2 linked regions of the Caenorhabditis elegans genome follow. The protein of the gene in region 1 interacts with the protein of each later gene in a pairwise test. Each region holds a gene or a part of one and is shown on either strand. Other genes may lie near its edges.

Region 1 (4,871 bases):
TTCTGATTGTTTCGGTGAAGCAGCTTCTCGTTTAGGAGTCGGCTCTTTGGTTGTAATTGGTGAAGTCAACGCATCAGCAGATGATTGTGGAATATCCCTGGGTGATGGTTCGATATCTGATGAGAATTCGTCTTGCCAGTCTGGAAAATTAGTATTTTAAGATTTAAAAGAATGAGGGTTGCAATTTCCATTGAGAAAAGGTGCGGAGCGGGTTTTTTTTCACTTTTCAACAGGAAACATCGTACGGAATACAATTAAAAATGGTTTTTTAATGGGAAATTTAAAATTTCTTTCCAACTGAACTGGTTTATTTAAGCCAAAAAGGTCTAAAAATTGAGCAATAAACCAATGCAGTTGGAAAATAAGTGAATTTACAGAAAAAAATCCGTTGGAAATTTCCTGTTAAAAAAAGTTTTAAAAAAACGCGCGGCGGTTGCGAAAACCCGTGCCGCACCTTTGCAGCATGGAAATCGGAAGAAAACTGGCATACCAATAAAGGTTAGTTGAGGATTCGAGTTCATGTTAGTTAAAAATTATCGGAAATAAATAAATAAACTAAATTTTGCGATATATAGAATTTTTTGTATTTTTACATATTTGTGAAGGGTCGCGTAAAAAACTCACCTTCGTTTGTGATGTGATTTGCAAGATTAACATCCATCGTGGTTGATTGTGTCATATGAGCAGAAATAAGATCAGATACTCCACGAATTGATGATGCATCCACAGAAGCAGCCATGCCCATTCTGTAATTTAAATAATATCTTTTAAAAATTAAAATTTTGATTTTAGGGGACCGAACCAAGTTATTAAAGGTGGAAGAAGTGTTTGCCTAACAAAATTCTTTTTGGAAAATGATAAAATTGGGAATTTTGCTTTAAATTGTATATCGTAATGAGCGAATTTATACAATTTTTTTAAACAATAAATATAATTGAAGCATTTTCAAAGATCTATATCGTTTGCGGGAATTTAACAACAAATATCGCATTTTTTGCAAAATTGGAGAAAACATAAAAATTTAGAAAATTTTTTTAAACAGTAATTATGATCTCTTTTCTGACATTTAGAGCAGTGATAAAAAATTTGGAAAATCAAGAAAATAAAATAAATTCAAAAAAATTGGTGATTTTTATTTCTTCATGCGCTTCAAAATTTGGAGTGAAGTGGAGGATAACCAAATCGAAAAAAAATCAAAAATTTGAAAAATAAAAAAACCTTCCCGAAAAATAACAAAAATTCCAGACACAAAACTCACAATGACAAATTACTTTGATCACCACTCTTATGTAAGCGATGTGATATTGGAAACCAACTACAAACAACGACACAACAGTCAAATATTAATCACTTTTTTAAATTTAATTAAATTAAACTTACTTGTTTCGAAGTTGCATATTTGGCAATGGCATATTCTGCATTAATTCGAATTTTTCACTTCCCATTAGATATTTTGTACGTTCCATGTGATCTACATGGGTTCGTAATAGAGTATTATATCGTTCGTGGAGACGATCGAATTCGAGCTTTTGTTCCACTTCACGTTCTTCCAGACGACTGGCTGAAAAATAATACTTTTTTTAAAAATTTATCCAAGAAAAACACAAGAGTTAATAATTGAGGTGACAATTAACTAACTGTAACAAACTAACCGTGATCAGTGGCATTTTTGGCTTTCAACTCGAGCATCCTCATTATTGATTCAAGTGACTCTATCTTTTTGTCCAACTCTTTATTCTGACCAATCAACGTGTCTTCTATTTCAATATATTTCTGTTCTGTCTGCTTTCGAAGTGCTTTTTCACGTTCATATTGTGTCTGAAGCTGTTCATTGTCCTCTTTGAGCATTTCAAGTTCTGCAGTCTGCTCGTCACGTTCCAAATAGGCAAGATCCAATGCTTCGAGCACATTTACAACCAATGGCATCAGAGTCTGAAAATGTTTAGTTTATTGAATGATAATAGAGAAAGAGAGAAGAAAATTAGCATAAATTTACCTGCTGACTGGTTTAACATACTGAATTTAGTATTGAAGTAGAGTAAAAACATAGAATTTCAATTTCTGATCAAAAAATGGTCTAAAAAGTCCGAATTTCGTAAAAATATCATTTAAAAGTTCTTCAATTAATTATGACGATTCTATGTTTTGAAAAATATTTAACTATGAGCTAAAATCTACAATTTTGCATATTTTTCCGTGCCACAGCGGTCGGAAATTTATTTTCATTCGATTTTCGCTTATTTTGTCGTTTATCTCGTGTTACTTCGTTGAGTTTGGTACATTTGAAGCGATAGGCAACTAAAAATAAGCAAGATCGAAATGATGCTCAATAAAAATTCATTTCCGGCCGTTGCGACACGGAAAAGTTGGCAAAATTGAAGATTTCAGAAGAAAGAAAGCGTTTTTTTTTTCAAAACCATCAGTCTTATTATGAAATCCGGTTGTTTTGGGACATTTTTTGCGAAAACAGCCATTTAAATAAATTTTAAAGTAAAATTCCGAAAAAACTCACTTTCACGCCATCTTCTCCGTGAACTTTTATCATTGTTTCCAACTCTCGATAAATTGCCGAAGCCATTGTCTGCACTTTATCCGACATTGTTCGATGCTCATCTGGTGAGCCGGGGCCGCCGTACACAATCTGAGATAACATTTCTCCCATCAATATCGAATGCAGCATAAAAAAATCCTCCTATTACCCGTCCCAACTGTTTTGTTGTGTCTAGCGACAATCAATAATGAAGAGAGAAGTGCGGAAGAGAAACATAACGGTATTTACTGGCCGAGGAATAGTAGTAGGGGGCGACGATAAGAGAACCGAGATAACTATCGGGAGACGCTGCTGCTGCCACTCGGTTGCAACAATGGTTCATTTGCCACCACTTACCTCAGACGGTGTGCTGCTCGTAATTGAGTCTGCCATCTCATTCACCGGTGACAAATTGCAAGCCATTTTTTCAGTCGTTCTGTCGATTATTGGTCCATGTGAGAGCAAGTTGACGAGACAATTCTACAAATTATGTTGCTTTTGTGCTTTGCAATGAAAAAAGCTATGTAAATAAAGTGCCACTCCTTCGCCGCGGCGACAGAAAATCAATAAAAGAAGGCTGGGCGCATGTGTGAATCTCGTGGATGAGAGAATACGGTAATTGGCGGAAGAGGAGCGTTTTGTGCGTCACGCACTACACGCATGTCGAGTGGGTTTTGCCGTTTTGCGCTTCAGAATTTATTTTTCTATTGAATTCAGAATAAAAACACTTCATTAGAAGTTTTGCATGAATAGAATTTCAATTTGCGCCGCTATTACGAATTTTTATATAAACTCTATCAAAATTATGTGTTTCTTAGGCTATTTTTGCGTCAAAACCACGAATTTAGTGTGACAACATGTGTTAAAACAATGAAAAAACAAATACGAAAGAATCAGTTTATTACGAAATAAATCAACGTTCATCATTATCTTCCTCAGGATATTCCGGGTGGCTCAGGAACGCTAGAAGCACTTGCACCAGAGAAATCATCAGAACAATTCCCACTCCGACCTGAATTGTTGGATTAAAGAGAAAATCATGTCGATTAATATAATTTACATCCAGAAGCACAATGCAGTTTTTAATTGCTGTATGCTCGTGGGGAGCTTTGGCACTGAATGTGTACACGATGAAGAAGATGAGCGAAAGCAACGATGTGACTGGTGCTGGAGCATGATAGATGGCCAACTGAAATTTTTGTAGAATGTAAAATAACTTTCTAAAACTAGGAATTACTTTTCTTTGGCTCATTGCCAACATGCATTTAGATCGACTCAAAAACAACAGAGCGATGAATGTGATGACTGCGAGTACGAGGAAAACGCTACCTGCTGAGAGCTGAAAACGTAGAGTTAGGAACGTCTTTAAGATGAGAATTTACCATCCAAAATGACGCGAGTCCAGATACGTACCCCATTGGAATAGTTCCCTGGAGTAGAACAGTCACACTAATCATCTGAAAACCAAGAAGATTCCCAAATAATCTGCTGAAAACTAGAAACTCACAATATTTGCCACAATGAGTTTGTTCAAAAGCATATTTCTACTTTACAAAGATTTGTAACCGTATAACCCTTTTGCTAGATTTGAATTTAACGAAATGAGTAGGAAATCAAGTTAAAAGTGTTGTCTATTTTATAAATTAAAAGAACGTAGAAAAGGTCTTCACGAAGAAATTTAAAATTTATTCAAAAAAAAAAAATCAGACTTCTTTCTTGGCTTTTTTCTTCGGTTTCGACGAGGATGTTTCAGTTGATCCTCCACATTCTTCTTTGATCGTTTGCATTCCTTCGATACCGTTCAGTTTTTTCATGTCTTCTTTGCCTGAAAATGTGCAAATTTTTATTCTTCAGCATTACTATATTATCCAGATAATTTTGCGATTTTCGTCATGCTAATACGATACCCGGTCTCGATACGGCAAAGTTTTTGATAGATCCAAAGAGGTGTGCGCCTTTAAAGAGTACTGTAATTTCAGATTTTCGTTGTTATGGAATTTGCATCGATTTTTCATAGTTTCAGATAAATAAATAAATATTTAAATATCGAAAAACTAATAAAAGTCTAAAAATTCGAAGTACAGTACACTTTAAAGGCACACACCTTTCAGAATTTAACAATTGTAGCGTCGAGACCGGGAACCGTACTTTCTGGGTAAAAATTGCACAATTTCGCAACAAAAACTAACCTGCAGGTTTACAAACCGCACTTTTTGAATGAAGAACTGTCAGAATCACGAACACGATTGTAGTGATGATTCCGATACCTCCGAAGACAGCCGAAACTATCATTAGCATGCTAGATGGCAAAATAAAGTGCTTTTCACTCATCTTTTTGATG
Region 2 (5,001 bases), on another chromosome or scaffold:
CCCCAGACGTCGTGCCTCCAATCGATCCATTTGTGGAGCCCGCGTCGTCCACAGAGCTTCTGCCGTTTCATCTCTGCGTCTCGTTCACCCATTAGACGTTGTGCTTCCTCCCTGCCTGAAAATAGCCCCACACAACATAGACTTGCTCTTCTTTCTTCTACTTTTTTTCTCATTCTTTTTTCTCCAGATACGCCTTTATTCAAATGACGTGTTTCTTTTTTTTGTCTGTTCAAAAACCAACAACTCATGATCATCAGATGATGATGGTCAAAAATCCCTTCCGGTTTTCCTTTTCTTCCCAAATTTTGGCTTGGACTTTTTTTGAATTATGACACCAAAACATGCAACGACGTATATATATGCAAACGTAGAATATCGAGTTTCAGAACCGAATCATTGTCGAGATTAAAAGGGAGGAAATTGATATGTGATGGAAATAGATTGAGGGCTGAATTTTTGAGATTGAAAAAACAATTGTATAATGTAAGTAGATAAAACAAAGCTGTATTGAATTTATAAATATCTAATACATTTTCTAATACAAAAATAAATTTGATTTTGTACTTTTCTTAAAAAGTGATCAGAATTTCCACTAGATGTTTTTGGCAACAATCACCTGATAATTGGATTAAAATTTGACAAAACTGTTTAAGTACAAGCGAACTAGATGAGAATTTCTACCTTTTTCTTTCAATTGAATATTTTCGTATTCTATCCCTCCGTGCTTTCATTTTCCATTGACGTTTTATGGTTCAATATATATCCTAAAAGTTTTCCTTACCCTTTCTCCTACTAGTTTCATCTCTTCTTCTAAATAATTAACATTTCTTTATTTAATTGATTTCTTTCCATTTCACGTCATTTCTTCATTTAGCACAACATTCTTCTTTTATTCCCATCCAATCGCCTTCTCCGTTCATTCCGGCCCCTTTTTCAGCTTCAAATTGAACAACAAAAACACATTGCGTGACGATAAAACTTCCAGTTCCCGTCTTCAAAACGTCATTCCGAGAGACTATTCGCCTGGAACCCTCGCCTTTTTTTCATTATGTGCTCATCCCTAAAAGAGCCAAGAGCTCTCAAAAACTGCTGGGGATCTTCGTGAAAAAATGTTTGGTTGAAAATTGTTGAAGCATCTTGAATTACCATTTACTAAAGGACCAAGTATACATTTTGAAATAGGCTCCGAAAGATTGAAGCATATTTTGAACTAGATAATATTAATTAAATTCATTTTGTTGGTGTTAACTTTTATTTTAAGTTGCGAGCATGTTACCGTAAGAACCTTTTTCATTTTTTATTTTAAATAAAATTTTACAATTTGTCTTGAGCAACTTGTTCTATAAGTGATATCAACTTCAAATTAGTGAGCATATAAAATTAAAATGAGAAAAAACAATAGCGTGGATAGAAAAATCACCATAGGCCAGGAAAATCTGTAAGAGATTTTCCCGTGTTAGCTAAACTTTTGAAATTGTTTACATTTTTAAAGGTTATGTTTTACCATCTGATTCTTTACAGATCGGTTTTTTTTAACATATGACAATAGTTTTAACCTTTCGTTTTTGAACCTTTAAATTTGAAAATCAATAGTTTTCATTAAATACTCATTGATTACAGTAGCCATTGGAACTTTATGTCTCCTTTCGCTGACCTTAGGGAACATTGTGCCAAAATCAGTTTTGCTTCCAAAATCAGATTCTATAATTTCTACACTGTGACTCACAAAAACCAACCAAATTCAATCATTTTTCTGTATCCTGCCTTCTTCTTTTTTCGAATGTTCTTTTTCTCCTTGTTTCTCTTTTTTCCATGTTTATCATCGTCATCTGTTGCTTCTTCTCGGCTTCTCTAATTTCAGCCCAACCCCTTTTTTTTCCTCATCTAATTAAATTCGCCTCGAGGCTCCGTCCTCCTCCATCTCTATCTTTTTCTCTTTTCTCTTCCATTCCGAACTTTTTCTTTCCCAATCGACCATCTATTCGAAGATTCATTGCTGCCTTTTTTTCAGCACTCTTCTTCATTTTTTTTTTCGAATACACATTCAATAGAAAACTGGAGAAGAAGAGGAAAAGCATCGAGGAGACGATAAGTGGGGCTCAACGCCATTGGATGATTGACTCGAGCTGAGAAGAAGGACTCAAGAGGTGAGCCAAAATTGCAAAATAGAAGAAGAAAAAATAGAAAAACAAGAGGAAAGGGAAACAAATGTCTTGTTATAGATGTTGATGTGTGAAAAAAAACGATATAGAAAAATGACATGGCTGAACGGAGTTATTATCTTGACTTGAAAGGCGGTATTCGAAAAATTCAGATTTTACGTTAAAAATTCCCTTTTTAACTCAAAGTACCCAAAAATGGGCTAAAATTCAAAAATACCACAATAGAACACTTAAAAGATTCTGTAAGTTTGTAGGACTGCATTTTAATCCTAAAAATATGGTTTCAAAAAAATTAATTCATGTTCTGAAATGTTACTAAGGTTTTGGAAAGATCGCAATGAGCTTTAACTTTTCAAGATTTTTCTTCAAGAGTTGGTAAAATTTTTGACATCAGTAAACTTGTAGTTTTAAAAAACTTTTAAAACCCCTTTTCAATTTGTTTCAAAATTTCAAAATGTTCAAATCTTAATGCTTAAAATTGAAATTCAATGAAAATAGATCACAATTCACGTCATTTGGCATTTGCTTCTTTTCCCTGCCTGAGCCAACATTTTCTAATCGAATCAACCATTAATCTGTTTTATTTCGTCAATTTCTTTTTTCCTTCTTTCCTTATTAGCATATATCGATCTTACTTCAATTGTTTAAATAAATCTCAATAAACAAGTTCAAAATAACATGTGAATTCCAATTTCTACGAACGAATTCTTGAATTAATTAAAACAATTTCAGATGTCATCGGTTAAAGTAGCTGTACGTGTTCGCCCATTCAACCAACGGGAAATCTCGAACACTTCAAAATGTGTCCTTCAAGTAAATGGAAATACGACGAGTAAGTGCCCCAAGGGATTTAGAAATGGCGGGTGACATTTGAGACTGAGTTAACCCCTTTCTACGAAATATTTTCCGAGAAAAAAGGATAGGCTGCCGTCCCAAAATGATGCGAAAAACGTTGGTGACGTCCAAGAGTCTTTGGGAATAATTGAAAAGATGAGAGAGAAGCAATGCATAAAAAAGAACAGACGGGGTCTTGAAATGAATAAGAGGAATTAAAAGATATTCTGGAGGTATGGGATTCAATATTGGGATCTACCATTGAGCAATACCACCACATGTTTCGTTCCGTGTTTCTAACACAGAGTTTTTGAAGCATAGATAGGTGTTCATATTTGCGTTGGAGAGTAGTGATCTCCAAGATATATTTTTATACACAGTCTTTAAATGTTTTATTTTTAAATTTTAATTTTAAAGAATGGTTGTAAAATATGCTCAATTCAAAGCTCCCTGATAACAATACATGATACTGTAGTAGCATACTGTATGAACTGTTTCAAATTAAAATATTCCAATTTTCAGCAATAAATGGTCATTCAATTAACAAGGAGAACTTCAGTTTCAATTTTGATCATTCATATTGGTCGTTTGCGAGGAATGACCCACATTTTATCACCCAAAAACAAGTATATGAAGAGCTCGGAGTTGAAATGTTGGAACACGCATTTGAAGGGTTCGTTTGATGTACATAGATTAATAGTTTAAATAATTGACTTCTAGGTATAATGTCTGCATTTTTGCATACGGTCAAACAGGATCAGGAAAATCATATACAATGATGGGAAAAGCCAATGATCCAGATGAAATGGGTATAATTCCACGTTTGTGCAATGATTTATTTGCACGAATTGATAATAACAATGATAAAGATGTTCAATATTCTGTAGAGGTAATTATTTTTGATACATTAATTCATGGAAACTAACAATATTATTACAGGTATCGTATATGGAAATTTATTGTGAACGAGTAAAAGATCTTCTGAATCCTAACTCTGGAGGTAACCTAAGGGTTCGTGAACATCCTTTACTTGGACCTTACGTCGATGACCTTACCAAAATGGCAGTTTGTTCTTACCACGACATTTGCAATCTGATGGACGAAGGAAATAAAGCGAGGTGAGAGAGTGAGAGACGGAGAACATTAGAGAAAATCAACGGAAGTATCATGGCAAACTAAACCAAGTTTAATGACCGGGGGTATACACAGGTAACCCGCGACAAGCGAGCGATGACTTGCATGCAGGCCGCGTGCAAGCGAATGTAGAACCAAAAACACGCGTGTACGCGGCCTATCCCTCGCCTGTATTTCGCTTGTTAGCGGCCCATCGTTCGCCTATTATTGACATGTCTGTGAGATGGAATCCTTCCAGGATTCGTTCCACCCGCTTGTAGTTTTCACTTTCTTTTCTTATAATATGACAACAGTAGTTTATTTAAATAATATTTATTTAAGAAAAATTTCCAAAAATGCAAAAAAAAATTAGAATTTTTCGGGATTTTCCCTCGTTCCGCTGTCTCTGCTGCACTTGGTTGCTCTGTAGATGCTTTTCCGTGGCGTTTCCGATTGGCTAATCTGAAATTAAATACATTTTTGTATAAAATTGTGTTTTGTTTGCGAAAAATACAATATGAACTGAAAAGTTAAAGGTAGAGTTAAGTCAATTTGCGGTTTTGCCATGAATGATAGCAAAAACCAATTTTGCAAAAATAAAAGAAACATTTGAAGCTAAAATAAGCTAAAATATTACCTCTTTCAAGAAATCCTTGGAAACTGAAGCGAATTTTCAATATCCCCGCGTTCATCCATCGTCTCCGCGCTGCGTGACACGACGGTCGGTGGCTGTTCGGCAATCTTTAAATTTTGCATTATTTCATAGTTTATAAGAATTCAAAGAACAGAAATTATAATATCCCGTCTCTCCTTGCAAAAAACAATAGAAAAAGTGAGAAAAAGAAAGAACATCCAATTCTCATAACAAAAACTACGATAATTGCGAAATAAT

What was found. The genes of interacting proteins can lie anywhere in the genome.
Region 2: the proteins of unc-16 (region 1) and unc-104 interact in a protein complementation assay, tested with the Caenorhabditis elegans proteins (one study listed by BioGRID).

What each region holds. Positions count from the first base shown.
Region 1 is NC_003281.10:9,544,441-9,549,311, reverse strand, and holds the start of unc-16 (JNK-interacting protein), read right to left. Parts: upstream 3,018-4,871; 5' UTR 2,954-3,017; coding exon 2,888-2,953; intron 2,642-2,887; coding exon 2,513-2,641; intron 1,933-2,512; coding exon 1,653-1,932; intron 1,562-1,652; coding exon 1,381-1,561; intron 1,316-1,380; coding exon of another isoform or gene 1,259-1,315; intron 747-1,258; coding exon 625-746; intron 522-624; coding exon of another isoform or gene 491-521; intron 141-490; coding exon 1-140. Other genes in the region: ZK1098.12 (DUF2975 domain-containing protein), read right to left, coding at 3,444-3,542, 3,591-3,719, 3,768-3,869, 3,913-3,987, 4,038-4,070; ZK1098.9 (uncharacterized protein), read right to left, coding at 4,234-4,355, 4,720-4,861. UniProt on the Caenorhabditis elegans protein: The JNK-interacting protein (JIP) group of scaffold proteins selectively mediates JNK signaling by aggregating specific components of the MAPK cascade to form a functional JNK signaling module.
Region 2 is NC_003280.10:6,993,040-6,998,040, forward strand, and holds the start of unc-104 (Kinesin-like protein unc-104), read left to right. Parts: upstream 1-1,947; 5' UTR 1,948-2,147; intron 2,148-2,894; coding exon 2,895-2,994; intron 2,995-3,518; coding exon 3,519-3,669; intron 3,670-3,716; coding exon 3,717-3,885; intron 3,886-3,935; coding exon 3,936-4,114; intron 4,115-4,407; coding exon of another isoform or gene 4,408-4,571; intron 4,572-4,746; coding exon of another isoform or gene 4,747-4,852; intron 4,853-5,001. UniProt on the Caenorhabditis elegans protein: Motor protein involved in microtubule-associated anterograde transport. Regulates the transport of synaptic vesicle precursors in the axon of DA motor neurons. Regulates the polarized sorting of axonal proteins.